Linked DNA regions of Elephas maximus indicus. The protein of the gene in region 1 binds, or shares a complex with, the protein of each later gene. Links are inferred from orthologs where the notes say so. Each region holds a gene or a part of one and is shown in the gene's direction. Other genes may lie near its edges. The genes, in order: TMEM237, B9D1, CEP290 and TMEM17.

Region 1 (7,988 bases):
ATGAGAGAATAAGACATTGTTTTACACCAGAATGCAAGGTTCTCAGTTCATATGTAGACTGGAGCACAAGTGAACAAGTTAAGTAAGATAAGGGGCATACAATGTGTAGGTCAAACTTTTATGATCCTTGTATTTTCTTTGTGCTTTCCTTAAAATGTGCTTAATAAAGGAAAGACAGACTTGGGTCAAAGCTGGTGGTCAGTGTGAAGATGGCAGGAGTATCTAATGTGAGGTAACAGAAAGAGGAAAGGGAAGGGAGGTGAAACAGAGCTGATCCACCCTGAAAATCTGCCTTTGTCTTTGTGCCTTGAGATCATGTATAGAATCCTACTCTCAGATTTCAATAAAGGATACCATAGCTAGTAAGTGGAAGAGCCAAAATTTGAACTTCGTGTTCATTCTAGAGCACCACCTCCTGACTATTAAAATTTTTGTTTGTTTTTTAAGAGTTGAGGACTTGGGGGGAAGATGAGAATATACTCCAGCTAAAAATAATTGCTAATTTCTGGTCTTAGAAATTTAGAGAATATGCATATCAACTCTAGGAAATTTGGACTTCTGTTTTAAATGTGCATTTAATTTTTCTGTATAGGGTATTCAAGTGGCTCGAACCCAAGAACTGAAGCCCTATGTCATCTTTATAAAGCCATCTAACTTGAGTTGTATGCAGCTATCTCGGAAAAATGCCAAGATCATTACAGACTACTTTGTGGAGATGAAGTTCAAGGTAAGATACAGAGGAAGTGGTTGATTGTATTTTTTTCTAGTTAAAAATCACAGTACTGTTCCCAGAGGATTCCTGTGTTAAGGAATGTAACATTTCTAATACATAATATCCTCAACATCACTTACAGATGTTAAAATAAGTTTAATAATGCTATGATGCTAACTTTCCTTTTTTTATTTCCCCCTTTTTTGATGGAAGGTCCCAAAGCCAGTTTGCAAAAGTCTGACTCTTTTACACAGAAATTAGGTGTGCACAAGCCTGATATTTGTATTTTAAGAGGATTAGTTATAAGAAAGTTTACTTTAAAATGTCATAGTGAATATTTTTGCCCATTCCCAAGAAAGGTGATCTGACCGAATGTGGAAATTATTGAACAATATCATTACTATCACATGCAAGTAAAATTTTGCTGAAGATCATTCAAATGTGGATGCGGCAGTATATCAACAGGGAACTGCCAGAAACTCAAGTCAGATTCAGAAGAGGATGTGGAGCCAGGGATATCATTGCTGATGTCAGATGGATCCTGGCTGAAAGCAGAGAATACCAGAAAGATGTTTACCTATGTTTTCTTGACTATGCAAAGGCATTCAACTGTGTGAATCATAACAAATTATGGATAACATTGCGAAGAATGGGAATTCCAGAACACTTAATTGTGCTCATGAGGATCCTGTACATAGATCAAGAGACAGTCATTTGAACAGAACAAGGGGATACTTCGTGGTTTAAAGTCAGGAAAGGTGTATGTCAGGGTTGTACCCTTTCACCATACTTATTCAATCTGTATGCTGAGCAAATAATCAGAGAACCTGGACTGTAGGAAGAGAACAGGGCATCAGGATTGCAGGAAGAATCAATAACAATCTGTGTTATGCAGACGACACAACCTGGCTTGCTGAAAATGAAGAGGATTTGAAGTACTTAACTGATGAAGATCAAAGACTACACCCTTCAGTATGGATTGCACCTCAACATAAAGAAAACAAAAATCCTCACAATTGGACCAATAAGCAACATCATGATAAATGCAGAACAGTGAAGCTGTCAAGTGTCAGGGATTGAACTGCATCCCCCCAAAACATCTGTCAACTTAGCTAGGTCATGATTCCCAGTATTGTATGACTGTCTACCATTTTATCATCTGATGTGATTTCCCTATGTGTTATAAATGTTATCACTATGATGTAATAATATGGATTAGCTGCAGCTTTACTGATGAGATCTATAAGATTAGATACTCCCTTAAGCCAACCTCTTTTGAGAAATAAAAGAGAAAAGCCAACAGAGAGACATGGGAGCTCATACCACCAAGAAACAGTGCCAGGAGCAGACTGTGTCCTTTGGACATGAGGTTCCTGCACAGAAAAGCTCACAGGCCAAGGGAAGATTGATGACAGGGACCTTCCTCCAGAGCAGAGAAAGCCTTCACCTGGAGCTGGCACCCTGATTTGGACTTGTAGCCTACTAGACTGTGAGAGAATAAATATCTCTTTATTAAAGCCATCCACTTGTTTTTGTTTTACTTGGATCCACAATCAACAGCCATGGAAGCAGCACTCGAGACATCAAAAGATGCATTGCATTGGGCAAAACTGCTGCAAAAGACCGCTTTAAAGTGTTAAAAAGCAAAGATGTCACCTTGAGGACTGAGGTACACCTAACCCGAGCCATGGTGTTTTCAATCTCCTCATATGCATGTGAAAGCTGGATGATGAATAAGGAAGACAGAAGAAGAACTGATGCCTTTGAATTGGGGTGTTGGTGAAGAATATCAACTACACCATGGGCTGCCAGAAGAACGAACAAATCTGTCTTGGAATAAGTACAACCAGAATGCTCCTTAGAAGCAAGGATGGCAAGACTACATCTCACATACTTTGGACATGCTATCGGGAGGGATCAGTCCCTGGAAAAGGACATCATGCTTGGTAAAGTAGAGGATCAGCGAAAAAGAGGAAGACCCTCAATGAGATGGATTGACACAGTGGCTGCAACAATGGGCTCAAGCATAACAACGTTTGTGAGGATGGCCAGGACTGGGCAGTGTTTTGTTCTGTTGTGCGTAGGGTCACTGTGAGTTGGCACCAACTCTACAGCACCTAACAACAACAACAACATAGTGAATATACTTTGTGTGTAATATCAGGTATCTTACTACCTTACTTCTCATTATTTTTGTTTTTACATTTTTTCAATGACTGTTTTATAAAACTCTGATTCTCTAGAATGCAGTTAGTTCAGTGAAGTTTATGGGTGCACTTCAGAGTAAAAAAAAAAAAATTGGGGGGAATTTAAAATTGTGTTCTCATTTCGATGGCTGTCTAAGCAAATTAATAAAATTGTTCTGGGCCATGTGTATGGCCACCTTGTCAAGGGGTACTTTCACAAAATTTTAGCGCCTGTATTTGCATTTGTGTTTATGATTGCATTGGCAACAAGTACCACTACTTTAGTTGTCATGAGCAAATAAGAAAATAACAGCAATAAATTTAATTACTATCCTTATGGATGTGACCATTTTCTATCTGCAAGATAACATCATTCTTATCAGGTTAATGTTCTTTTAAATTTTAAGTTAAAATTTTATTTATATTTAATTGATAAATTTGCTTTGGTTTTATGTTGTATATGGTTTGAAAGCTTCAAGTGTTTAGGTAATAAAATAAATTTAAGTCCAGGTGGGAAGCTGAGTGGTCATTTATTTGACCTGGTTTTTTATAAATAGCTTCTCAACCAATGTGACAGCATAACATACTGTATATTAATTCTATTTGTCTCATTCAATGTCTTATGCGTATTTTTCTATTTCTCCTGAAGGATGAAGACTTACAAGAGATGGAGGATTTAGCCCAAAAAATGGAGGCCCAGTTTGGCCAGTACTTTGATCATGTGATAGTGAATGACAACTTGCAAGATGCATGCGTCCAGTTGTTGTCAGTAGTAAGGAAAGCTCAGGAAGAGCCTCAGTGGGTCCCAGCAACATGGATTTTCTCTGATACCACATCTTAGGGAGGCCTCCTGCTTAATGCTGGAGTTTTAACAATGTACCTTGGTGATAGATACCTGGAATAATAGCTGTAATATAAAATAGCGCTATTTGACCCATTGTAATGCGTGCGACTTTAAAAGTGCGACTCGACGGCAGTGGTATAGTTTATTAATTAATCTTATTTAAAAATAAATGTGTATTGTATGGGTATGTAGACTGGCTTTTGGGAAACTTGTTTTTCCTTCACCTCCTATGCAATGTAGGAACATGAATGTGAAAATATCAAGTCACTAAACCTGAGAACCTTTCATTTATTTCATATGGCTTTTATAGGATTCAGATTGAAAAAGCTTTTCCTAAATAAAATTAGCAGGATTTCATTTCAGAAACTGTGTTTTACTACATAAACCTTGCTTCATGAAAAAGTGTTTGTCATTGTGCTTTTTACAAAAAGTGCCTATTTGACTAACTCAGCAAGAGAAGTTAATATATGTATTTCACACCTAACATCAAAACCTCAGAAACTGCATTGCCTCCATTATCTACAAATCAATCCACAAGGAAGATTATTCTTCTGATCACAAGTGTCCCAAACATTAATCTTCCTAAAAGCCAGTATCCACCTTTATACCTAAATTGCTGACCTTTTGATTAACAGCCGAGTTCTTAACCACTGAACCACCAGGGCTCCATGCCTAAATTAAAACAACAACAAAAAAACCCAAACCCAGTGCAGTGGAGTGGATTCCCACTCATAGCGACCCTATAGGACAGAGTGGAACTGCCCCACAGCGTTTCCAAGAAGTGGCTGGTGGATTCAAACTACCCACCTTTTGGTTAGCAGCTGAGCTCTTAAACACCACACCATGCCTCAATTAGGAAAGGCCAATTGGTCCAAAAGACCAATATACAAGAAAACCACAAGATGGAGATGTTATTCCAAGAAGTCTTGTTTTTCTTTCTTTTCCCTGGGCCTGTGACTTCAGTCGCTCTCCCTGTCCCTGTATTAGTTTATCTTATGCATCATTCTCCCCTTTCTCCATATTCATACCATTCCTCCACCCATCCCATCGCTTTCTTCATCAAAACCTTTAAGAAAATTAAATTTTAAGGATACTTAACTGAGTCCAGATTTGATTTTATGTTGTGGTTCGCTGAGAAAGCAAAGGGTTGGCCGACACCCACACCCTCCCGCACTGCAACTGTGGGCGGGGCCGGGGGGGGCAGGGAATGAGGGGGTAAACGCGCCCGTCCCTGACTCCGCCGGCCGGGAATGCTAGCTTCCCCTCGGAACGCCAGGCGGAGCCGGGCCGAGACGGGCGGAGTCCGGGCCCCAGGGGCGGCGGCCTAGTCAGGCCGCTCCGAAGCCCCCGCCTCTAGCAAGTCGCGGAGGCCGGCGCGGCGGGGAGCCAGGCTCCGGCCCGCGGCAGTTGCGCCCAGGGAGCCCCGTGGGGAGAGGACCATGAGCCCCGAACGGAGGTCTCAGCTGGAGGCGAACCACCGGGTGAGCGGGAAGGGTGCGAAGGCCACGAGAGGTGGAGGGTGGGCCCCTTCACCGAGCAGCCGCCCCAGGGGCGGGGCCGACGCCAGCCGATTAGGGAACAAATGGGGGGGTACTGGTCGTGGGGTGCGTGCATCTGCCCCTTCGTCGCTCGGAGGATTGGGGCGGGGGCTGGAAGTTCGTTCTGAGGAGGCCGGGACCCCCGATTGCTGGAGCCAGGCGGGAAGCCGTAGGAGTCGGAGCGCCCGCGTTGCCAGGACGACACGGTACTTGGCCGCCGTGACTGTCGCGGGTTTCGGTGCTGCCAGCCAGGTCCCTCCGGGAGGGCGCTCTTTCACCCTGTTTCGGAAGAGCTGTATACAAGCGGAGGCTTTTAATCATGGTCTTCTCTCACGTCCCCCAAACAAATCACCGCAACCACTCGAGAAACCACAGGGAAGACTGATTGCCGACCCATGTCCGCCGGAGTCTCTCCTCCCGAGCACGTCAGCCCTTCCCTCGACGCCCCTTTTCCCGCTGGAGTGGATTGGAAGTGTTAGACCTGACCAGGCCCCTCGCTTCACCCCCACTAAACCCCTGAGGTAGCTGTAGGCCGGGAGCGGCCGCCCGCGCAGCCCGATGACGCGAGTGCGCCTGCGCGCGCGGCCCGGCCGGGCTGGGGTGTGAACGCGGGGCGCGCGGCAGCGGCCGAGCGAGCGTCCGGCTTTTACACAGAATGGGAAAGAAGCAGGTGGTAAGCGAGGCCTAGTTACATTTATTTATTTGGGTTATTAAGATTCTGTCTTCAGCCGCCTTACGTTTGAGGGGCTTACAAGTTGGGTCTCTAGATGAGTGAAATGTCATTTTTGCCGGACTTTTGAAATGTGAAGTTACCGAGTGAGCTGGGTCCTTGAATAGAACGCGATCCTCAGAACGATAATGCTTTCATTTGTCTTTTTTTCCAGTTGTAATTTTGACTGGATAGTACTACGACATTATAGCATTTGAATCAATATGCTGTTTGAACGAGTGGATTGCTAGTGGAACAGTCGTGGAACCAACTACAAGAGTGTCTAAAATTCAACCCTTTTGATTCATTGTCCTCTGCAAGCAGCATGAGATCATAGGAACATTAAATTCATTTCTAGGCATGTCTCTTACTCTTTTATTTTGAAAGATTCCAGAATGCTTCTTTGATGTAACGCTCTCTGGATCGCAAACAACTTTTCTTATTCATGTAAAACAGCATTTATAAGTCTCTCCCCCCACCCCCTTTCAATTTTCGCTGCCTTGACACCCATTCTTCACGCTGTGTTCAGCATTCAGAGTGATTTTTTAAAAAGCACGTTACTACGTGGCTTAAAACTTCCATTGGCTTCCTGTTAAATTAAAATTCAGATTCTTTCCCCTGGTCCCACTTAATCTGTCCCCTACCTACCTCACCTTGGTAACCATACTTGCAGCCTTGCTGGCCTTCATTTTTACCTGAAACGTTCAAATGCACCAGAACTTGGAACTGTAACCCTCTGCTTGAAATGTTTGTTGGATCCTTTGCATTCAGGCTTCAGTTCAAGTATCTCAGACTTGCTTCCACCAGAAGTAGCACCTCACATCCTCCCTCATTCACTCTCTTATTACTCTGTTATTTATTTTTTTTCTTCTGGTACTTGGCCACTAGAACATAGGTCCACAAGAGCAAGGATATCTCTGTTTTGTTCATTAGTGTATCCCCAACCCTAAGAACAAAGCCTGGCCTGTAGATAGAAAGGAATGAAAAAATTTTATGTGACATTCAGAAATGGTGGAATAAATTTTAAAAAGCCCCTCTCATTCTCATTACTACCTCCCAGGTTTTTACTGATGGACAGGGTTATCAGATCTGAAAATACTAGCCTGATGCATTATATTTTTCTGTCATGTTTGAACAACATGGTTTTTATTTTTTAAGAATGATGTCTTCATGAAATTGAAGCCATTTAAAAAAAAAAAATTGGAGCCCTGGTGATGCAGTGGTTAAGAGATTGGCTGCCAACCAAAAAGGTTGGCAGTTCGAATCTACCAGCCGCTCCTTGGAAACCTTATGGGGCAATTCTACTCTGTCCTGTAAGGTCATCACGAGTCAGAATCGACTCGATGGCAACGGGTTTGGGTTTTGTGTGTGTGTGTGCGTGTGTTTGTTTTCATGGTATTGTACAGAAAGTAAAGATGATCGCAGCTTTTATGGACAAGCAGTTTTTTCATTTCTCCCTTCCAGCGTCCTCCACGTGCCCTTCCACCTGTGCCAAGGTAAAAATAATTTTCACTAATCATTATTGGACTTTAAAAGTACAAAATGGATAAAAGTAAAAAAATTAACTAGTATTATTGCAAAATTATAATGATTTAGAAAAGACTTCTTAAAATTTATATGAAAAGGATTCCTAAATTTTTAAGGATAGGAAATCTTTGAATCACTTGGATAAGAGTTATAATTAAATGTTTGATTTAAAAGCCCAAATGTTAACATGATATAATAATGCTTCCATTCTGAATGTTTTTAGTGTCTTGTTTATCAGAATTGTTTATGAGAATGTGTATTGGAATTCTGATGTTCTTTTGTTTGCTAGAATAGTTTCCTCAGAGTTTAAGCTGATTTTATCACTGAGGAAATAAGAGTTCTTAATCTACTTAATCCGCTTTACTAACAGACTGAAGGGAATGTGTATGTAGGTTCATAACATTGGGGTTATTTTATTAGCAGTCTTATTAAACAGCTTATTATTGGTAAATGATAACTAGTTTGTAAACTA
Region 2 (7,931 bases), on another chromosome or scaffold:
AGGCTGTTGGAATTTTGATTGCGATTGCGTGGAATCTATAGATCATTTTGGGTAGTTCTGACATCTTAACAATATTGTCTTCCAAACCATGAACATAGAACATCCTTCCATTAATTTAAGTCCTCTTTAATCTCTTTCAGCAGTATTTTATAGTTTTCATTGCATAAATCCTTTACATCCCTGGTTAAATTTATTCTTAAGTATTTTATTCTCTTAGATGCTATTGTAAATGGAATTGTTTCCCTAATTTCTCATTCAGATTTCTCATTGCTGGTGTATAGAAACCTAACTGATTTTTGTGTGTTGACCTTGTACCCTGCAACTTTGCTAAATATCTCTATTAGCTCTGGAAGTTTTCTTGTGGACTCTTTGGGATTTTCTATATATAGGATCATATCATTCGTGAATAGAGATAATTTTACTTCTTCTTGTCTAATTTAGATACGTTTTATTTCTTTTTCTTATTGCTCTGGCTAGGACTTCTAATACAATACTGAATAGAAGTGGTGAGAGCGGGCACCCTTGTCTCATTCCCAATTTCAAGAGGAAAGCTCTCAGTCTTTCTCCATTGAGTATAATATTGCCTCTTGGCTTTTCATATATGCCCTGAATCATATTGAGGAATTTTCTTTCTATTCCAATCTTTAGAATTGTCATGAAGAAAGGCTGTTGGATTTTATCAAATGTTTTTTTGCATCCATAGAGACGGTCATGTGGTTCTTTTCCTTTGTTCTATTGAAATGGTATACTATGTTGACTGATTCTCTAATGCTGAACCATCCCTGCATTCCTGGAATAAACCCCACTTGGTCACAGTGTATGACTCTTAATATGTTCTTGGATTCTGTTTGCTAGTATTTTGTTGAGGATTTTTGCATGTATATTCGTAAGAGATATTAGTCTGTAGTGTTCTTTTCTTGTGGTGTCTTTGGTTTGGGTATCAGGGTTATGTTTGCTTCATAGAATGAATTGGGGAGCATTCCTTCCTTTTCTATCTTTTGGAAGAGTTTAAAAAGCAGTAGTGTGAATTCTTCTCTAAATGTTTGGTAGAATTCCACAGTGAAGCCATCTGGTCCGGAACTTTTTTTCGGGGGTGGGGGGAGGTTTTTGATCACTGATTCAGTCTCTTCATTTGTATGAGTCTGTTGAGGCTTTCTATTTCCTCTTGAGTCAGTTGGGGAAGGTTGTGTGCATCTAAGAATTTGTCCATCTCATCCAGGTTATCCAGTTTGTTGCCATACAGTTGTTCATAATATTCAGTCATAATTCTCTTTATTTCTATCAGGTCAGTTGTAATGTCCTCTCTCTCATTTTTTTATTTTGGTTATTTGCATCTTTTCTTTGTCTGTCTAGCTAAAAGATTGTCAATTTTATTGATGTTTTCAAAGAAACATCTTCTGGTTTTATTGATTGTCTCTGTTGTTTTTCTGTTTTTTTATTTCTGGTCTTTATCATTTCCGTTCTTCTGGTAGGTTTAGGCTTAGCGTGCTCTTCTGTTTCTAGTTCCTGAGCTTGTCTAGTTATGCTGTTAATTTGAAAACATTTTTCTTTTTTTATGTAGACATTTACTGATACAAGTTTCCCTCTGAGTACTGTCTTTGCTGCAACTCCTAAGTTTTGATATGTTGTGCTTTCATTTTCATTTGATTCTAAGAAATTTGTGACTTCTCTTTTGATTTCTTCCTTGACCCATTGGTACTTTAACAGTGTGTTGTTTAATTTCCATATGTTTGTGTTTTTTCCAGGGTTTTTCCTGTTGTTGATTTCTGGTTTCACTCTGTTATGGTCAGAGAAAATATGATTTCAGAGAAAGTATGATTTCAATTCTTTAAAATATATCCAGACTTGCTTTATAATCTAAAATGTGGTTTATCCTGGAGAATGATCCATGTGCACTGGAGTAGAGTGTATATTGTGCTGTTTTAGGGTGGAATTTTCTACATATGTTTATTAAGTCTGGTTTGTTTATAGCGTCATTCAGAAAGGACAAATGGTTTTTAAATATCTACAGTGTTTTTCAGCAATACAAGCTGGACTCCAAATGCATTCCCATCATCTTCATGGGAGATTGTTGCTACCACTGACTAAAACCTGGTAGGCAGGGGCCTTATAATCCCCATTTCCTCAGAAGCTGAGACTTAGATAAATTAGATCCTCAGCCCAAGGTCACACAGCTTGTGAGGGGCAGTCTGGATTGGAGCCGAGGGCTGTCTGACTCACTTCTCTACAGCTCCCTTGGCCAGTTTACCCCTGGAAGAAGCCTCTGCATGCATTTCCTCCCTTGAATTTCATGGGCAAAGGGGAAAGGTACAGCCCCTGAGGCAGGATTCAGAGAGCCAGAGATTCCCCCAGACCTTCCCAGGCCTAGGCCCAACTTAACAGGAGAATGAGGTCATCCAGGCATCACCCTCCTCTTATTATGACTACATGGAGGCCTAGAGTAGGGCAGTGACTTAGTAAGCTGGGGACAGGCTGGGGATAGTAACCCCTGAAGCCTGCCTTGGGTTCTACCCTGGACCCCAGACCACCTACCATGGACCCCGTTATTCCGTTGTGCTGCTGGATGCTGAGGTTCCCGAGCTTTCTCTGGCTCCTGGCCTCCCTGCTGGGCCCAAGGATTTTAGTCTGATTTTGGTGAGGATGAGAGAGGAAGCATGGGATGGTTGGGGGCCAGAGGATACTGGCCTGGGGAGGTGTACAGACAGGGTGGTGCTGGGGGCTGCAGAGGAGGGTGGCACTGACCTCCTGCTCTGCTGAGTCAGCTTCCAGCCTGGATGTCTGACACCTACCAGGCAACAGCTTGTCCCCCAAACTCCCTGCCCCAGGGTGCTCAAGATCGCATGAGCTTGAGGAGATTGTGAGGCAGGAGTCCAGTGGAGGGCAGGGTTGTGCTGGGTGACGTAGAAGAGGAAAGTCGAGGAGTAGAAGCCAGGAGGCACATCCTGGGGCAGGGAGACCAGGGCAGGAGCTATGTGCCCACTGGTGGAGAAGCATCTCAATCCATTAACCACCAGTACAGCCATATTGGGCACATCGGCTGAGGGCCCCCATCCCCACACAGACCCGTATGCCCCACCCCTAGAGCTGCACAGTGTGCTGCTGAGGCCACTGTCCCCCAGCAACTGCAAAGACACTTTTCGCCTCCAGCCTGACTGTCCCACCCTGGATGTCAGCCTACTTGAGGGCTCTCAGTGCACCAGGCCCCAGCTGGTCCACCTGAACTTGTGGTAACGACTCCAGCTGAGCCCTGAACAAACCCCTAAGATCCCTTAACACTCCCTCCAGTTCCTCCTAAAGAGAGTAGACTCCACATTACCCTGGGATCTCCCATTCACCAACACCCAGGGAGCTGGGCTTCTCTGCACCTCTGGTGGCCACCCCAGAGGCCCCTGTCCCTTGGGGGAAGTCCCCCTTTTGTGTCCTATTCAAATGTGAAGTAGGCTTTGGCATGGCCAGGTTTTAAAGCACAGAAGCCCCCTGGTTATTTGATCATCTCAAGCATTTAGCTGCAAACTAACTTTGGCACAGTCCTGAGTCTCAAAGGTCACAGAAGGGAAGGAGTTGGGCAAGACTGGTAAAATTTGTCAGAGAAAGCATATTAACAAGGAAGAGACAGGGTGTGACATGGGGTGGGGTGGTGTGCGGCCAAGTGCCCAGGAACTGAACAGCTCCTACTTGTGCAGCCCCCACCTGTTGCAGCTCCCAGCCTCTATCACATGAATAAACCCTGGTTACCCACAGCCCCCTCTCCCCAATCAGGTATCTTTGTTTACCTGGGGTCAGGGCTTCAGCTGGTTGGGCTGTAACCTATCCTTCCCTCTCCTCCACCAGTGACTGACAGGAGCCCCCTTGTGTGCTCCTAAGCTGGCAGCTGGCTGTTGAGCAGGGTGGTGACCTGGCAGCCCACTCAGGGTCTGGCTTCCCAAAGTCTACACTCCTGTGCATCCTTTCATTTCCTGGATTTGGGAGGTCTCTAATGCCACTTCAGATGCTGAGCCAAGAAGTGACCCAGGACAAGGCAGAGGGGGCGGTGAGGGTCTCTAGTCTGTGGAGCTGTGAGTTTGCGTCCTGGCTCAGCCACCTAAAACCAAAAAGCAAACCTGTTGCTGTCGAGTTGATTCTGACTCATGGTGACCCTAAAGGACAGAGTAGGACTGCCCCATAAAGTTTCCAAGGAATGCCTGATGAATTTGAACTGCCAACCTTATGGTTAGCTCTTAACCACGACGCCACCAGGGCCTCCACTGCTGTGATTTTGCCCAAGTCACCTTCCTTCTCTGAATCTGTTTCCTACTCTGTAAAATGGGGACATATTCAATTATTCATTCATTTAGCAAGTATTTATTGTGTGCTTGCTATGTGTCAGGCAATGGGGATACCAGACTGACAGTCTCCATATTCATGCAGCTGGCAGTCTAGAGGGGGAGATAAGCATTGGCCCAAATTATGAGTCTCAATAAACGTACAAACAGAAACCATGGTTAACGGCAAGAGGACGAGAGAGGCCTAAGAGGAACTGTCATTTGAGCAGAGCCTCACAGGTCGGAGATTCTGCTCTAGTCCCAGGCACTGCCCCTCTGTGGGCCTCAGTTTCCCTAGTTTCAGAAGTGGTGGCTTAGTTTGTTTAATAAACATTTTTGGGAGGAGAGTTTAAAAACACAAGCGGGTACCACCTTAGCCCGATGTGGGGCGCTGCCTGGCCTCAGCTCGGTAACGTCCCTCCAGAGCCCAGGTAGCCGACCCTGTCCTAGGCACCTGGCCCCCGCCTCGCACTGATAGGCGGCGACACCGTAGTCCCAGCACATTGAGCCCCACGGTACCCTCCTCGACTCTCCCGGCAGCGTCCGCTAACTGCGCCTGCGCAATACCACGCACGCGCACTAGTGAAGAAATATGTCCCGCGCGCCACGCCGTCTGTTTCCAAGGTAACCTCAGCGCCTCTTAGCAACCGCGCTGCAACCAGGGTCGGCTCCCGGTGCCCCCCGCGCTGCCATGGCGGCGCCGGGTCCCAGCGTCTTCCTACTCATGGTCAACGGGCAGGTGGAGAGCGCCCAGGTGAGCGACCGGGACCCTCCCCAGCCTCCCCCGGGGATACGCCCCTCGGCCCCTCCGGCTGCGTTGCGGTCCAGCGAGGCCTGTCGTTCCTCGGAGCTTCTGTCTCCCTTGGTGAGGCGGGGGAGGAAAACCGGCGTGTGAGGGGCTCGGCGCAACGATGCTAGGCGTTCCTAATGCGCAGCGTGGAAATTGAGGCTTGCAGAGGCTGAGCTCGTGCCAGGGGGACGCTTGGTCAAGCCTCTGACCCCTGGCCTTGTTGAATCACGGGCAGGAGCTTCACGGGGCGTCACTGGGGCAACTGGGCCGGCGCACAGGCCTCCTCCGCCCGTGACCGAGTCGGGGCGTCTGTGAGCCTCAGATCATGGAACTCAGACTGGAGTGGGGATGATTTGGGTAACCCTAGCCAACGACGGTGGTGGTGGCCAGGAATCATCCAGGGAGGTGTGTCTGTCATACCAAAGGGACGCTACTCCCCACCTCCCAACACTTTATAAAAACGTTAATAATCATAATAAAAGCCAATGTGTGTCAGGTATTCACTCTGCACCAGACGTGGCCCTTAGCCCTTCCCATTCATTCAGCACAACAACACTGTGAGATGGGTGTTATTAACATCCCTGTGTTACAAGTGACAGAGCTGGGGTTTGAATCCAGGTCTGTCTGACTTCAAAGCTTTGCTACACCTTAGCAGTGACCTTATGGGGTATTGGAAATGGTGTTTATATGTGAAGATTAAATGAGATGTTTTAGGTAAAGTTGTGCCCAGGGCCTGATACTTACTAGGTGTTTCCTACCTTCAGTTTCCTCATGGATGCTTCTGCCCCATGCACCCATCCTGCCACCTCCCCCTTGGTCTAGCACCTGATGCTGTCTTCTGCCTTTCTCCTGTTCTATCCCATCAGGGGCTCTCAGCAGGGCTGGGTCTTTCCTCATGACATGTGTCCTGATGGCTTCCTGGTTCTCAGACCTTTCACTTCGGCGTTATCCCCTTAGACCTTCTCTGTGCCCACCCTGTGCTTCCTATGCACAATCTAATGGGTTGGCAAACAGACAGGCAATCAGTGCTTTGATGGAGGAAAGCCCAGGTGCTGAAGGAACCTGGACAAGAGGGCAGGCTTTCAGGAGGGTAAGTTTTGAAGGATGAGCAGCAGTTTTCCAGATGAAGGAGTGGGAAGAGCATATCAGACAGAAAGCAGAGCCTGAGCAAAGGCCCAGGGGCTGTAGCAGCTGGGAACCCTCCTCTGGACTCCCACAGTTCAGTCCTCAGCCCTCTCTGCTGAACGCCATATCCATGTGTCCAACTGGCTCTTGGGCCCTGGCCCAGGTGCCTCATGTTCAGAAGTCCTTTTGGCTGCACCTGCCTAGCCGACATGTTGGTGGGCCTCAACATGAGTCCCAGTAAACAGAATTCACGTGTGCTTTTTTCCAGTTTCCAGAGTATGACGACCTCTACTGCAAGTACTGTTTCGTGTACGGGCAGGACTGGGCTCCCACGGCGGTAAGCTGAACTCTTGGGCCTCCCTCGCTGACAGCATTCGTGATTATTGGGGTTTCTGAAGGTGTCCATTATACCCCTTCCCCTCCCAGCTCAGAACCAAGTTAGAGGGAGACAGAGTTTGGAAACAAACGTGAGTTTGTTTTTGATAAAGCTGGAGTTGGAGAACACAGCCACAATTGGGCTACCAAATAAACCCCCACCGCCAGACTATTCTCACTCAGGTACCCTGTCCTGTGAGCTTATGTGTGGCAGCAGGTGGCAAAGAGGAACACAGGTGCAATGCAGCAGGCAGGCTCCAGAGTGCCAACTTGGAAGGGATGAGCTGTAGATACTTTGGGCCAGTCCCTCGTCATTTGGCCTCTCCTTAGACCATGGGGAGGACTTTGGAGAGTCACAAGACAGAACAGGATCTCTCACTTCCTAGGCTTCCTAGAGAACAGTCTCTCCACCAGGAGAGGGATTATAGTGATGTCTTCAGTTTGCACATACTTTACTCTTTGCACAGCACTTGTTTATACCTCACAGCAGTTAGGGAAATGGAAGCCCAGCTTAGATAACTTTTCTGAGTCTCCCATTTCCTCATCTGTACAACTAAGATGACAGTACTTTTTTTCCATTCACTTATTTATCGAATAAATATTGAGAGTCTTCTGGGAAACCCTGGTGGCATAGTGGTTAAGTGCTACAGCTGCTAACCAAAAAGTTGGCAGTTCAGATCCACCAGGCACTCCTTGGAAACTCTATGGGGCAGTTCTCTTTCATATAGAGTCACTATGAATTGAATTGACTCAACGGCAATGGGTTTGGTTTTTTTTTTTTGTTTGTTTTCTGGGTGCTAAGGATACAGAGGTGAACAAAACCAGACAAAAGTCCCTGTCTTCCTGGAGTACACATTCTTGTGTAGGTAGACAGAAAATAATAAATAGTAAATATTCTAGTTTGTTAGTAATAAGTTCTGTAGGGAAAACAAAGTCAGAAATGGGGGGAGGGTATGAAGGCAAAGAGGGAGGTTGATATCATGGAATTACCTTGAGTCGGAATTGATTTGACAGTGACTGGTTTGGGTTTAGGAATCTAGACATGGTGGTCAGGGAAGGCCTCACTGAGAAGGTAGCTTTTGAATAAACACCTGAAGGAAGTGAGGGAACAAGCCATGTGGAAATCTATGGAAAGAACCATCCAGGCAGAGGGAGCAAAAAGTGCAAAGAAAGGCTCTCTCTGTGGCAGGAGAGCCTTTTGAGGAGCAGTAAAGAGGCCAGAAGGAGTCCTGGTGGCACAATGGTTAAGTGCTTGCCTGTGAACTGAAAGATTGGTGGTTTGAACCCACCCAGTGGCTCTGTGGTAGAAGAGACCTGGAGATCTGCTCCTGTAAAGACTG
Region 3 (7,870 bases), on another chromosome or scaffold:
TACTCAAAGCTGTGACTTTCATGAGTGTTAGGGTTCTTGGGAATAAAAACCCCTATTACTGGGGACTGCTCCTTGAAGTTTCTTTTATCTTCAGTTCATCCCGCTACATCAGAAAGTCCCTACTGTCTCCTTGTAAACTGGTAATATTTTCAGCTTTTCTTACTAAGGTCTATTTATAACTACACCTCTTTCCCCAACTTCTGTTCCTGCAGGTTGCTTTTTTGGACAGAACCTAACATGACTCCATAACTGAGCTCATGAGCCTACACTAGAGCCAGCTCTCTCTCCCTTTTTCTAATATTAAGCTCCCTTGGGGAATTTTAAAATTCTATTATCTCTGCCCTTCATAACCTCTGTACAGGTGAGTGGATGAGTTTTAAGAAGCATCATGTTTGTTTATCAATGAGGTGCTAATCATCACTGAGGGGATGGCACTGCAAGATGTACACTCTTCATGCCTACTCACTAAATATTGGTAAAGTACCCCAACTATTATGACAACTAAAATAAAAATGTAAGCTTATAATGTCGTGGCTCAGTAATTTGGGCTGCTGGGTTCAGCTGAGTGGTTCTTCTACTGGTCTTGACTGGGACCACCAACAAGGCTACAGTTATCCCCTGGCCGGACTAGGGCTGGATAGTCTGAAGGATAGGAGTCTCAGCTTGGAAAGCTAATCTCTGCTCAATCACATTCACCAGTAGGTTAGCCTGGGCTTCTTTAAATGGTGATCTTAGAGCAGATAGGAGAATAAGTCCCACCCAATGCGCAAACTCTTTTCAAGCCTTTGCTTATTTCAAATTTGCTACTATCAATCAACTAAGTTAAACCCAGAAGCGATGTGGCAGAGGTTCTAGTGGGCCAAGACAATAGAATTTTTGAAGATTCCCCAAGGGAGCTTAATATGAGAGAAAGTTAAAGTTTTAGGGCACGCTCGTGAGCTTAGTTGTGTAATCATCTTAGGTTTTGTCCAAAAACACAAACTGCAAGAGCTGAGGTGTTTGTGCGTGTATATGCGTATGTAGTGGGGGAGGGGGGAGGTTAACAAGGGCATAGAGGAAGGCATGACACTGGGAGACTACTTACTATATAACAGTGTAACACACCATTGTTGTTTGCTGTGTGAACTTTTCTTTTTTCCAGGCACGGTAGCATATTCACACACACGCATATAATGTTAGTGGCTGGGATCACTGGTTTATATCTGGTACAAAAACGGGATGTCACTATATATCTTATTATAGGTAGTTCCCAAGTTAGACAACGAGATTCGTTTCTGTCTTTAAGTTGAATTTGTAGGTAAGTCGAAACAGATACACATGGTTCTTACTGAGCATCAGTTAGTCAAACGTTTGTTTTCCTATATAGTATGTATTTTACCTTTCTATGCATAAACACTTAAAAACCACTGTCAAACAGCACAATGTTTTCATGAGCGTCACAAAGTAGTGCCTGCGTTCGTTATTATGAACCACTGTATTAACTCAAATTAACATAATAGGTTTTATGCCAGCCCATTCTTAAGTACGAGTTTTCCTTAAATAGGATGTTTGTAACCTGGGGACTGCCTGTACAGCTATGATTTGTTTTTCCACATCACTAATCATTTTATAGGAAACCCTGGTGGTGGAGTAGTTAACAGTTCAGCTGCTAACCAAAAGGTCAGCAGTTCAAATCAACCAGGCACTCCCTGGAAACTCTATAGGCAGTTCTACTCTGTGCTATAGGGTTGTTATGATGCAGAATAGACTCAATGGCAATGGGTTTGGTTTTTGGTTTTTTTAGTCAGTTTATAAATAGAGGACTGCAAATTGTAAAACCAAATACCTTCACTTGGCAACAACATCCTTCAATGGACAATTAATTACATTTAATAATACAAATTTAAATATTTCTTCATCATGAACGTTTCCTATTACCATTGCTCCATTTTCTATGTTCTTATCTTTAAGAATACTTATTACCAGGAACTTCAATATCTGAGACCAATAGTCTATATAATTATCTTCTCTAACATTTAAAATTTTTTCTTTACTGCATTTTCAAAGAATTATCAAATTAATTTTTTATGAAATCTATATCCTGAAATTTTACTGGGAGCAGATTTTTTCTCAAGTATTCTAGCATTTCTTTGAATGAATCTGTTTCAGCAGGGGGCAACTTGTTATGGATTGAATTGTGTTCCCCCCAAAACTGTGCATCAACTTGGCTAGTTCACGATTCCCAGTATTGTGTGATTGTCCACCATTTTGTCATCTGATTTGATCCTCCTATGTGTTGTAAATTCTACCTCTATGATGTTAATGAGGTGAGATTAGCTGCAGTGATGTTAAGGAGACAGGGCTCAATCCACAAGATTAGGTTGTGTCTTAAATCGACCTCTTTTGAAATATAAAACATAAAACGGAGAAGCCAGGAGAGTAGAAAGAGGGGGATCTCATACTACCAAAAAAGTAGGGCCAGGAGCAGAGCATATCCTTTGGATTCAGGGTCCCTGTGCTGAGAAACTCCTAGACAAGCGGAACATTGATGACAAGGGCCTTCCTCCAGGGCCCACAGAGAGAAAAAGCCTTCCCCTGGAGCTGGTACCCTGAATTCAGACTTCTAGTCTACTAGACTGTGAGAGAATAAACTGCCATCTGTTAAAGACGTTCACTTGTGGTATTCCTGTTATAAGGGACCCTGGACAGCCAAGACACAGCTCTACCAGAGAACTGGTCCTTTTCACCTGAACCACAGAATAACTTCGAACTGCAAGTGAAGATTACTCATGAATTATAGAGATACAAAATTTAATGCCTTCAACATAACTGAGTGTTCACTCATTGCAATGATCCAAAAATTATTACAGTATAATTATCAGAAAAAAATAAACCTATAAAAATTTTTATATGAATCTGGGAATATTTAGTCTGGAAAGGAAAGTTCTCCCAGGTTAAGGATTCCATTGTGATTATATCATCTTATTCAATAAGAGCAATCTACTACATTCTATTTTTAAAGTCTGCAAAACTTTGTTAGGCCTGCAAAGTTTGCAAAGTCTGCATGTCTGGTGACTCCTACTAATCTTTCCAGTCTCATGCTGTGGGAAGACAAGTATCAGCTTGTTGCAAACTCATCCTTCCCCGTAAGAACAAGGCGAAACAAAACATTTATTATAAACAGTGGATATTAAATTTCTTATGGCCATGCTTTATTTTAGACACTGGGAAAGTAAGCAACCACTCATTTTTCTGATAAACCAAAATCAAAAACCTGTTGCCGGGGAACTGATTCCGACTCATAGCAACCCTATTTTTCTGAGAAGGTAGCTGAAAGTATATGGAAAATCATCTAAGGAATACAGGCTGGTTGGTAGAGAAAACAGAGGTAGCAATTATAAAAGGCAAATCTTTCTTATGAAGTGATTTTGGTCAGAAAAAATTCTTCATAAAGGCCTAAGGAAGAAAAAAGGCAGGTCTAAGCAAGTTATTTATTTATTTATTTTTTAAGCAAGTGTTCCTATAAGAAGGCCATTCATTAAACTGAAACATAAATCCCTTCTCTTTGTGAAAACTGACTGATGAAGAAAATTAGATGAAAAGTAATGAAGAGTTTTAGCGATTTTCCTCAAAATTACATACTGAGTGACTGGACTAGAACTTGAGTTAAATTTCCTGATTTTTTATAGCTAGGTACAAAGAGACTGCAGCACATAAGAACCTAGGCCTTAGCTAACTTGTTTTCTGCTGTATCCCCAGTGCCTAGTGGAGCGTACAACTTCAAGTTTATTGTCAGAATCAGTTAAACTATGACATTTAAGTACAATTTCGCTTTGGATTTGTACTGGTAGCCAAAAGATTGGCTGGTGGATTTCAACTGCCAATCTTTTGGCTACCAGTCCAGCTCTTAATTAACCACTGCGCCACCACTGAGGACAATATAAACACGTATCTCACTGCATTCCTATGAAAATTAAGTGAGAAAATGGATAGTTTTTGGCATGTAACCTTTTAGTAAAGGATTACACAAAATTATCATTCCTCCCAAAGGTCAGCAGTTGGAACCCACCAGCTGCTCCGCGGGAGAAAGATATGGCAGTCTGTTTCCCTAAAGATTACAGCCTATGGGGCAGTTCTTCTCTGTCCTGTATGGTCACTAAGAGTCGGAATCCACTTGATGGCAGTGGGTTTGGTTTTTAATACAAACTTGTCTTTAAAACTTATCTCACAAAATCACTACCTGTTTTTATTTTCTACTGAGCTAATTTTTTGTTATTACCCAAACGTGGTTTGGACAGAAATCTATCATTTATCTTCAAAATACTATCAGTCATAAAAAAATAAGTACAGATGAGAAGCACTGGTCCATATAGTTGGAAAAGTCATTTCAATTTCCAGTCTACTATTGATTTTTTATTGCAGAATAGGAAACCCTGGTGGCGTAGTAGTTAAGTGCTACGGCTGCTAACGAAGAGGTCGGCAGCTCGAATCCGCCAGACACTCCCCGGAAACTATCGGGCAGTTCTACTCTGTTCTGTAGGGTCGCTATGACTCGACGGCAGTGGGTTTGGTTTTTTTTGTTTATTGCAGAATAGAAACCCTGATGGTATACTGGTTAAGATCTACGGCTCCTAATCAAAAGGTCCGCAGTTCGAAACCACCAGGCCCTCTATGGGGGCAGTTCTACTCTGTCCTATAGAGTCGCTGAGTTGGAATCGACTCAACCGCAAAGATTTGGTTTGTTTAGTCCAGTATGGCCGAAAGCACAGAGATGGACCAAAACTTAATAGGAATAGCAGCGACGAACGCCCGACAAGCGCTACCATAAAAGGGCAGCCCCCTCGGTTATCAAGCGACAGAAGCAGGACTAAGATCTCTTCTCTCTAAACCCCAGCACTAGCCTGGATAGGTACTAACCTTTTTGCTCTCGAGTTTTCACTCTACCCTAGCTCCTTAACCTTGGAGCCTTCAATGCGCGCAGGAAAAGGTGCTACAGGTAAGGGGGTAGGGTCAGAAGAATGCGGTGTCCGCTTCTCAATTCCTCAGTAACCCCAAATCAAGGTCTCGGCAGCGTTGCCCCCACTCCACTGTATGGAGAGAGATTCCGATGCCAAAAAAGGGTAAAACTTTTTTTTTTTTTCTTTTTTCTTTTCAGAAGGCACCACCCAGGGCGCCGCTGGCAAACATCTGAGAAGGCGGGGTCTTAACTCCTCTTCAGATCCGGGCGGGGCCCTTCGGACGCAAAGGTAGGAGATTCTGTAAATCCGGACCGCTCCTTTCAACCCCTCCCCCGCCGCGGACCGACAGCTCGACCTCACCTGGGAGCGGCTCCACCGATGGCTGCTTAAGGAAACCTCAGGAAGAGCGGCCCGGTGAGTGACGCTACCGACGCCACAGTCATGGTCTACCTCGCTCAGTCCACCAGCGCCGACGCGCCTCAGCCACCGCGCCTCCAGCCTCCTGGTCCTACCCCTGCCGTCCTGGTATAGTCGCACTGCACGCTGGGAACGCCCTACATCCCAGAGACTTCAGCTCCCAGCGTACACATGCTTCCGAGCAGAACTGCACGCCGGGATTTAGAGTCTTCATCCCACTCCTTCTCCTGCTCCTTAACCCCGAGTCGATGTACCCCCCCGCCCCCGCCCCCGCCCCCGCCCGGGGAATCTGAACGTAAAGCATCATTCACCGCCGTGAAATGTAGCCTCCCCTTGCATCCGGGACCTTGCTCTGGCCTTGGCTGGGTGGGGAATGGTGTCGCCTAGCAGCGGCTGCCGCTTCTGCTTGCTCGGGACCGGTTGGCGGAACCAAGAGGCCGGGTGGAACCGCGCTGAGAAGCGATCGGGGCGCGGCAGCGGGGCTCGGTTTGGTGCGTGCGATAAATGAGGGGCCGCTGGTGGATCCCAGGCTTGGTCTAGGTGGGTGGCTCCCGGTGAGCGGGAGCTACAATTCTGCATAGGTTTTTGGCCTCAGGGCCCATTTGCAACAGCTCAGCTTCCCCGTCTCTTCTACCTCTGGTCTGCAATTCTTTTGCCTTCTTTTTGTTTCAGCCCTGGTTTCCCCGGTCCATCTGCGCTCATAGTAACCAATTTTTTTTACGCGGTTTTTGTACCCAGTTACTACTAATGCGAGCCAGGGGTCATTTTTTAGCCTTTACTGCACCTCTGCGCTTAGCACCCTTGGATGTGCGCGCGCTTTGGTGGTAGGAGAGGGTGAGGCAGAGGACCCAGAATCTTACCCTCGACCTGAATTAGTTTTAGCCAGAAAGCTGCCATATTTTATTTAGCAGGAACAAGAGTTTCTTCTGACTGCGTTAGTCGTCTGCTGTAGTTCTGATCAGGGTTATTTTGCCTACTTAACTGTTTTGCAGTTAAGCAGCAAAAGCTCTTCGTTAACTAGCTCAGGCAGTTATAGTGAGTCAATAATGCTGTTTACTTTGGAAAATCTGATACTCCGGTTTTGTTACAGAAGGTAAAGCACGGTGAAAGAATTCAACATGCCACCTAATATAAACTGGAAAGATATAATGAAAGTTGACCCAGATGACCTGCCTCGGCAAGAAGAACTGGCAGATAATTTGTTGATTTCTCTATCCAAGGTGCTTAATTGATAAATAACACATGGATGTACATTTTTTTTTGTTGTTTATGTATGTGTATGATTAAGTTGTCACTGACATCATTGAATGGTGCAACCGGAAGAGTTCTTGTATTTTGATTAAGGGTTAAAGTTGTTTGTTTGTTTACTTAGGTGGAAATAAATGAAATAAAAAGCGAAAGTCAAGAAAGCTTGATACATCTTTTCAGAGTTACTCAGTCCCTAATGAAGGTTTGTATCCAATAGGCTTAATACTTTTTACTATCTTAAATAAGATGATCTTTGTGAAAGTACTTTGTGAAATCTAAATTGCTATGAGTCAGAATCAACTCGATGGCATACAACAACACAACAAATTGCCACTCAAAAATATCTCCATGTGATTGAGAGCCTTCAGTGTGTAAAACATTGCAGTTTCGTACTGTAATGTTCCTAAAAGAATGTATAGGGGAAACAATGAGTATGTTTAAAGGTAAGTAAGTATGTGCTGAGGTGCAAATGAATAATGCAGACAATGACTGCTATGGGAATTTGTTAGGAGGGGGAGAGATTTAAAAGTTTGAGGGAATCTAATAAAGGATAATAACTAGTCTTAGGAAAGTAGAGGGGTATGGTAAGATGGCAAGGGCATTCTAGAGCTGGGGGTTACTGTAAATAAAGGCAGAATAGATAATATGCTTATTCTTTACATTGAAGGAGATAACCGCAGAAAGCATGTAGCAGATTGTAGAGGAAATAGACATTAGTGGATAGTTTCTTATAGGCTATGGAAGACCTAAAGATATATTTTAAACTATCAACAATGAGGAGCCATTAGACATTTTTGAACCACAATTGATGCAAAAATATACCTTAGGAAGGATAAACTGGGTTTGGTACATAGGATGAATTGAAGGGAGTTGATGCTGAAGCTAGACATAACACAATGGGTTAGAATTAAGAACTGAAATTGAAAAAAGAAGTAGTAAAGAAATTTGTAAAGGAAAAAGTTGCAATACTGACATAAATCTTGAGGGAAAAAGAAGACTCAAATGTGTTTCCAACTGGTAAGAATCTCGAAACTATAATTTTCAATAAGAAAATCATTAATGTATTCATTCAACAAATAATTACTGAATGTCTCTATGTGTTAGGCATTGAAGGCACTGAGAATTAGGATGGTAAATAAAACAAAATCCTTATTCTTAGTGGCTATAGCTAGTGTTAAGACACTGAAATAACTTTTTTTTTTTTTTTTAATGTTTAGATGAAAGCCCAAGAAGTAGAACTAGCATTGGAAGAAGTTGAAAAAGCTGGA
Region 4 (6,861 bases), on another chromosome or scaffold:
AAATCAAAACTACAATGAGATCCCATCTCACTCCAACAAGGCTGGCATTAATCCAAAAAACACAAAATAATAAATGTTGGAGAGGTTGTGGAGAGACTGGAACACTTATACACTGCTGGTGGGAATGTAAAATGGTACAACCACTATGGAAACCGATTTGGCACTTCCTTAAAAAACTAGAAATGGAACTACCATATGATCCAGCAATCCCAGTCCTTGGAATAGATCCTAGAGAATTAAGAGCCTTTACACGGGCAGATATATGCACACCCATGTTCATTGCAGCACTGTATACAATAGCAAAAAGATGGAAGCAACCAAGGTGCCCATCAATGGACGAATGGACAAATAAACTATGGTATATTCACAGAATGGAAAACAAGGCATCAATAAAGAACAGTGATGAGTCTGTGAAACATTTCATAACGTGGAAGAATCTGAAAGGCATTATGCTGAGTGAAATTAGTTGCAAAAGGACAAATAATGTATGAAACCACTATTATAAGAACTCAAGAAATAGTTTAAACACAGAAGAAAATATTATTTGATTGTTACAAGAGTGGGGAAGGAGGGAGGGAGACGGGTATTCACTAATCAGATAGTAGACAAGAACTATTTTAGGTGAAGGAAAAGACAACACACAATACAGGAGAGGTCAGTACAACTGGACTAAACCAAAAGTTTCCTGAATGAACTGAATGCTTCGAAGGCCAGAGTGGCAGGGGCGGGGGTTTGGGGGCCATGGTTTCAGGGGATATCTAGGTCAATTGGCATAGTAAAATCTATTAAGAAAATATTCTGCATCCCACCTTGGGGAGTGGCCTCCGAGGTCTTAAACTCTAGCAAGCAGCCATCTAAGATGCATCAGTTGGTCTCAACTCACCTGGAGCTAAGGAAAATGAAGAACACCAAAGACACAAGGTAATTATGAGCCCAAGAGACAGAAAGGACCACATAAATCAGAGACTACATCAGACTGAGACCAGAAGAACTAGCTGGTGCCCAGCTACCATCGATGACTGCCCTGACAGGAACACAACAGAGAACTCCTGAGGGAGCAGGAGAGCAGTGGGATGCAGACCCCAAATTCTCATCAAAAGACCAGAATTAATGGTCTGACTGAGACTAGAAGGACCCGGAGGTAATGGTCCCCAGACCTTCTGTTAGCCCAAGACTGGAACCATTCCCAAAGCCAACTCTTCAAACAGGGATTGGACTGGACTATAAGACAGAAAACGATACTGGTGAGGAATGAGATTCTACACATAAGGCTATGTGGCCAGCTCCTGTCTGGAGGGGAGATGAGAAGGCAGAGGGTGACAGAAGCTGGCTGAATGGACACGGAAATAGAGGGTGGAGAGAAGGAGTGTGCTGTCTCTTTAGGGAGAGAGCAGCTAGGAGCATATACAAGGTGTATATAACTTTTTATACGAGAGGCTGAATTGATTTGTAAACTTTCACTTAAAGCACAATAAAGAAAAAAAAAAGATTATCATTATTCCTATTTTACAAAATAAGAACCTGAAATCAATCGCACAACTATTAGGTGATAGAGTGAGAATTTTAGGAGACTTGAACCCTGCTCTCTGCTTTCAAGGGCATTCTTTCCACCACAGCCCAACAGCTCGCTTTACTGCACCCTTTTTGAAAGTTTTGGCTCATGTATTAGCTAAAAAGTGATTCTTTGTTGCTAAATTTTTTTTAATTTCTGGTTGCTTTAATTCACTGTGTTTTAATATACCAATTCTCCACCGTATAGAGTAGGCTTTACAAAGGCTGGTTAACTGCAGAGGTTGCTCTAACTAGAACCGGGAAGATATAGGAGTGGTCATTAGGCCTTTTATTTCTATTTATCACTCAACAGGCATCTAGCCCCCACTCTAGGCCAGGCATTGTGCTAGTGTTGGGAGATACACAGATGAAAGCCCATTCCTGACCTCAAAGAGCTTGTGGACTCGCAAGAGAAGCAGGCACATGAACAGACAATGAACAGCGTGACCAGCACCTTGACTAAAGTAAGTAAAGAATGCTTTGGGAAACAGAGGAGGGCACCTAGGCCAGCTTCAGGGAGATCCTGGGAGTATCTTTGGAGGTGGTGAGGCCTCAGCTACATCTTAAAGAGAAACAGATTAGTGAGTTTTTCCCTGACAGCTGAGACCTCTGGCAGAATTAATCACTTCCTCATCAGCATTCCTTTATTAAAGCACTTACAGCAGTGTACGGTATTTATTTGTTTCCATCTCTCCCTCTCACTGGGTTGAGCTTCCTGAGAGGAGGAATTATATTCCTAATTAGTCTAGTACAATGCCTTGTAGGAAAGCAATACTAGTAGGAATGCAATAAACATCTGTTGAATTAAAATGAAATTCTAGCCACAAAGTTAGCATTTCCTCCCATACCTTCCTCTTGACATTTAAATAAACATATGTGGTTTTCCTTTTGTTTGTAAAAAATAATAATAATACCGTTCGCCACACAACCATTAGAAGAGCTAAAAGGAAATGGGTGGAAAATAACAAGTGTTGGTGAAGGATATGCAGCAACAGGAATGCTCATACATTGCTGGAGGCAGCAGAAATTGGTACAACCACTTTAGAAAACCGCTTGGGAGTGTTTACTAAAGCTGGGTCATATCCTATGACCCAGCAATTCCACTCCAACACAAATCCAAACATAACAGTCCCAAACTAGAAAAACATACGCAGATGTTCGTCAACAGTAAAATGTATAAACACATTGTGGTACGGCCACACACCACAAAGAGAACGAAACTACACATACTCAACCATGTAAATGAATTTTACAAAAAACAACGAACGTAGAAGGCCACGAGCCAGATCCGGAAAAAAAAAAAAAAGTAAAGCACCTAAAACCCACTGCAGTGGAGTCGATTCTCATAGTGACCCTAAAAGACAGTATAACTGCCCCACAGGGTTTCCAAATTTTTTTTTAATCTTTATGGAAGCGGACTGTCACATTTATCTCCAGGGGAGCAGAGGGCGGTTAGAACCGCCCACCTTTCAGTTAACAGCTGAGTGCTTTAACCTGCACCACCAGGGCTCCTCAAAAAAGTGCTTACTATAGGGTTCCTTTTATATAAACTATAAAAACAGGAAATTATTCTATGCTATTACAGATCGGGAAAGGTTAGTGGGGAGCTTAGTGACTGAAAAGGACAGCGCCGGTAAGGTTCTATTTGCTCCGGTTACTAAACACACGTGTAAATTCAGTTTGTGTCCTTTTCTGTATGTATAAAAAAAAAAATTATTTTTATTTTTTTATATACGTACATATTATATTTTAATTAAAAAACAAAAACTTAAAGTAATACATCTTATTTGAGAGAAAGCTGGAAAATACAGAAATATTTAAAGAAACTTTCTTGTTGAAATCACCCAGAATCCCCCATCCAGAAATAACATTGTTAACATTCTGTAATTTTTTCCAGTCTTTTTTTTTAACCAGTGTGCAAGCCCTCTCTCCTTCCCCCGCTCCCCATTTACACACAAATTTTGCTAAATTACATTCTTTCCTATTTCACTGTACTTTTTTTTTTCAAGTCAATCCATATCATCAAATATTCTTCGCAGCAATGTTATTTATAAGCTGCTGCAATGCGCTTCATCGAATGTATGTGCTCTAATACATTTAATCAGTTCCCCATTGTTGCATATTTTCGTAATTTATAATTTTTATTAAACAAATTATTTTTTTTAATCAGTGCACATTATTACATATATGTATACACATATGTATATACATATAAAATTCCTAGAAGAGGAGCTACTGGGTCACGAACATTCTCTAAGCTCTGCATCCGGTCTGTATTTCCCTTCAGGAAAATTGCACCGATTTACAGACGCTGGCAAGGTGTGAGGAATCCTTGCATCACAATTCAACCCCAGATCATTTATTCTTATTAGGCTGTTGTTTTTGAAGATGGTGGAGCTTAAACGGGACTAAAGAATCTGCCGTTCGGAACACCACCGCGGCGCTCTCCACACACCTCCTCCACCACGCGCAGGCTGCGACCCGCACACTCGGCTCGGCAGACTCGGCCCCTGCAGTGCCGCCCTGAGCGCGTGTCCAGGCCCCGCCACGTCTCGCGCCGCCCGGTTGCCATGGGGACCGCAGAGCGCCACGGCGCCCGCAGACTCGACTGTATCTGAGGGGCGAGGGGTACTGAGGCCCAAGCATGGAGCTGCCGGATCCGGTCCGCCAGCGGCTGGGAAACTTCAGCCGGACCGTGTTCAGCGACTCCAACCGGACCGGGCCGGAGTACACCGAGGGTCCGGGTGAGTGGCCGAAGCCCAGCGCAGAGGGTGTGGCCCGCCTAGGGCCTGACGCGGGTTTTTTGAGCAGCCAGATTTTGCCCGCACCTAAGATGGCGATTCCGCCTTCAGCTAGGTCACCGTGGTGCGCGGAGCGCTTTGGCTTCTTGGCTGGGCCGGGCCCCGACCGCGGTCCAGTCCAGGTCGGCTCACGCTGTGGCCCGGGAGGCGCGTCGCAAGCGCCGCAGCAGATTTGGCGCGGGCCTTTGTGTCGTATGAGGCGCAGCACTGCCTGCGAGGAGACTTAAAAAAAAAAAAATTAAAAAGCTGCCTTCCCCGTGTGCTGGGTCCCGCGCCTTTGCGAAGGCCGACGTTGATTTTCCTCTGCGCCTGCCCAGGTTTTCTGGGTAGGATCGGGGGAAACAACCCAAGTGGCGTTATCATTACCCCCGCCCTCCTGGGAAATACCTTTGCCTTTTCTCTCTTCCCCGCAGGACAAGCATCTTCCTCCACAAGTACGTTTTCCAGCAGAAGAGATGAAAGAAACATTTTTTAATGAGTCATTTTAAACCTTTGTTCACTTCAGAGTGGCAGCTGCCACAGTAGACGGCCTTCGACTTGTCCCCTTCCCTGCCTTCTCCTCCTCCACTATATATAGCTCTTTTCCTAAATCTGGTAACAAAGTCACGGTGCTGCATTCAACAGGATGACAAGTGATAACGCAGTTTCCTCCAAAACAGTTTCCTCCTAATCTTGATGACAGATACCATCCTGTCTGACCAAACCCATTCGGTTTTCATCACTGAACTCTGTTCAGAAATAGAAACTTTTTCTTCTGACTGGTTTTAAGGATTTTTTTTTTTTAAGGTGGCAAAGAAAAGCAGTTTCCATAGTTGCAGTTTGTCACATTGATCACTTGCCTGTTCCCCCAAATTTTAGGCCTCTTTATGATTTGGGAGGTACAGAGAAAGACATAATATGAAAAATTAGGTTTTCTCGTTTCTGATACTAAAGCTGAGGCTTAACAGACACTAAAACCTGACTATGCAAGGTAGTGATTTAAATCAGGGGTCAGCCAAGTTTTTCTGTGAAAGGCCGGGTAGTAAGTTTTAGGCTTTGCGGGCCATGTGGTTTCTGTGGCAACAACAGACAAGAAGTGAATGGGCATATATAAAACTTTATTTGTAGACACTGTGATTTGAATTTCTTATGGGTTTCATGCATCACAAAACATTATTCTTCAATTTTAAAAAAAAATACCACAATAAAAATTCTATTAAAAAGTTCATAATCATCAGACATATTCTAGCTCAGTGAACCCTTCTTGCTATGAGAGACCATGACTATTTCTTAAAATTTGTTAAATGACAGATTAAAAAATACTCAGTTGTAGAGAAAAAGGAAAAAAAACCCACCTTTTTAAAAGAATTATTTTACAACCTTTGTAAATTCCTGCATTTAGAGCAATTGATTTGAAAATATGTGTCCGCTCTTAGATTGTTAGAATTTAGTCAATTTTAGGATGCGTTTTGTAGGGTTCAATTTTTTCAATCAAATTCTTAATTTAGGACCTTTCTCCTTTACATAAAAGCAAAAGGTATTATGTAATCAGGCTTAGATAAATGGAACTCATTTTTCACTAATGGCTACACTGGTAATGTCCTTATGACAGCTTGTTTCCGTTAATTCGTTAATTCGTTCTTTCAGGTTAGGTGTGCTTGGTATTTACTGTTGTAAAGCAAGACAGTGGTTCTGTGAGGGCTTCAGTTTGGAGTAGGATATGATCTGTGCTCACGATGAGCCTGTGTATAGGTAGAAGAGGAGAAGGAAAGGGTACTACTTTTTATTGAGTGCCTACTAAGTGCCAGGCACAGGGCTAGGGTGAAATAATTTTTATTCTTTCTAATCCTCACAAGCACCCTGTAAGGTCATTTTACTGTACACCTGTTGCCGCTGAGTCAATTCTGACTCATAGCAACCCTATAGGACCTATGTCCCATACGGTTTCGAAGGAGCGCGTGGTGGATTCAAACTGCCAACCTTTTGGTTAGCAGCCAGGGTTTCCAAGCTCAGTTTAATGTTAACATTTTACAGATGAAGAAATTGAGGCTCAAAGAGGTTAAATAACATATCCCAGGTCTGGCATCCAAAGTCAGGGAATGGAGGTCCAGCTGAGTTGGACTCTGTCTTAGTCATCTAGTGCTGCTGTAACAGAAATACCACAAGTGGCAGGCTTTAACAAAGAGAAATTTATTTCCTCACAGTAGGCTAAAAGTCCAAATTTAAGGCGTCAGCTCCAGAGGAAGGCTTTCTGTCTCTATTGGCTCTGGAGGAAAGTCCTTGTCCTCAGTCTTCTCATGGTTGGTCGAGGAGCTTATCAGGCACAGGGACCCTGGGTCCAAAGGACGCATTGTGCTCCTGGTGCCGCTTTCTTGGTGGTAGGAGGTCCCCCACTCTCTGCTTGCTTCCCTGTTCTTTTATTTCTTGAGAGATAAAAGGTGGTATAGGCCACACCCCAGGGAAAATCCCTTTACCTTGGATCAGGGAGGTGACCTGAGTAAGGGTGGTGTTACAATCCCACCCTAATCCT

The links.
Region 2: TMEM237 (region 1) and B9D1 share a complex: the UniProt entries of both Homo sapiens proteins name them as parts of the tectonic-like complex. The link is inferred for Elephas maximus indicus from reciprocal best matches to the Homo sapiens genes TMEM237 and B9D1.
Region 3: TMEM237 (region 1) and CEP290 share a complex: the UniProt entries of both Homo sapiens proteins name them as parts of the tectonic-like complex. The link is inferred for Elephas maximus indicus from reciprocal best matches to the Homo sapiens genes TMEM237 and CEP290.
Region 4: TMEM237 (region 1) and TMEM17 share a complex: the UniProt entries of both Homo sapiens proteins name them as parts of the tectonic-like complex. The link is inferred for Elephas maximus indicus from reciprocal best matches to the Homo sapiens genes TMEM237 and TMEM17.

Annotation. Positions count from the first base shown.
Region 1 is NC_064824.1:100,452,208-100,460,195, reverse strand, and holds the start of TMEM237 (transmembrane protein 237), read left to right. Parts: upstream 1-4,982; 5' UTR 4,983-5,181; coding exon 5,182-5,223; exon of another isoform or gene 5,224-5,935; coding exon of another isoform or gene 5,936-5,953; intron 5,954-7,453; coding exon 7,454-7,485; intron 7,486-7,988. Other genes in the region: MPP4 (MAGUK p55 subfamily member 4), read left to right, coding at 593-727, 3,548-3,739. UniProt on the Homo sapiens protein: Component of the transition zone in primary cilia. Required for ciliogenesis.
Region 2 is NC_064820.1:213,491,702-213,499,632, forward strand, and holds the start of B9D1 (B9 domain-containing protein 1), read left to right. Parts: upstream 1-4,931; 5' UTR 4,932-4,992; coding exon 4,993-5,055; intron 5,056-6,484; coding exon 6,485-6,553; intron 6,554-7,931. UniProt on the Homo sapiens protein: Component of the tectonic-like complex, a complex localized at the transition zone of primary cilia and acting as a barrier that prevents diffusion of transmembrane proteins between the cilia and plasma membranes.
Region 3 is NC_064822.1:151,779,473-151,787,342, reverse strand, and holds the start of CEP290 (centrosomal protein of 290 kDa), read left to right. Parts: upstream 1-4,863; 5' UTR 4,864-4,975; exon of another isoform or gene 4,976-5,134; 5' UTR 5,135-5,351; exon of another isoform or gene 5,352-5,580; intron 5,581-5,711; exon of another isoform or gene 5,712-5,894; intron 5,895-6,444; 5' UTR 6,445-6,472; coding exon 6,473-6,574; intron 6,575-6,726; coding exon 6,727-6,804; intron 6,805-7,819; coding exon 7,820-7,870. UniProt on the Homo sapiens protein: Involved in early and late steps in cilia formation. Its association with CCP110 is required for inhibition of primary cilia formation by CCP110.
Region 4 is NC_064835.1:74,245,542-74,252,402, forward strand, and holds the start of TMEM17 (transmembrane protein 17), read left to right. Parts: upstream 1-3,851; 5' UTR 3,852-4,195; coding exon 4,196-4,295; intron 4,296-6,861. UniProt on the Homo sapiens protein: Transmembrane component of the tectonic-like complex, a complex localized at the transition zone of primary cilia and acting as a barrier that prevents diffusion of transmembrane proteins between the cilia and plasma membranes.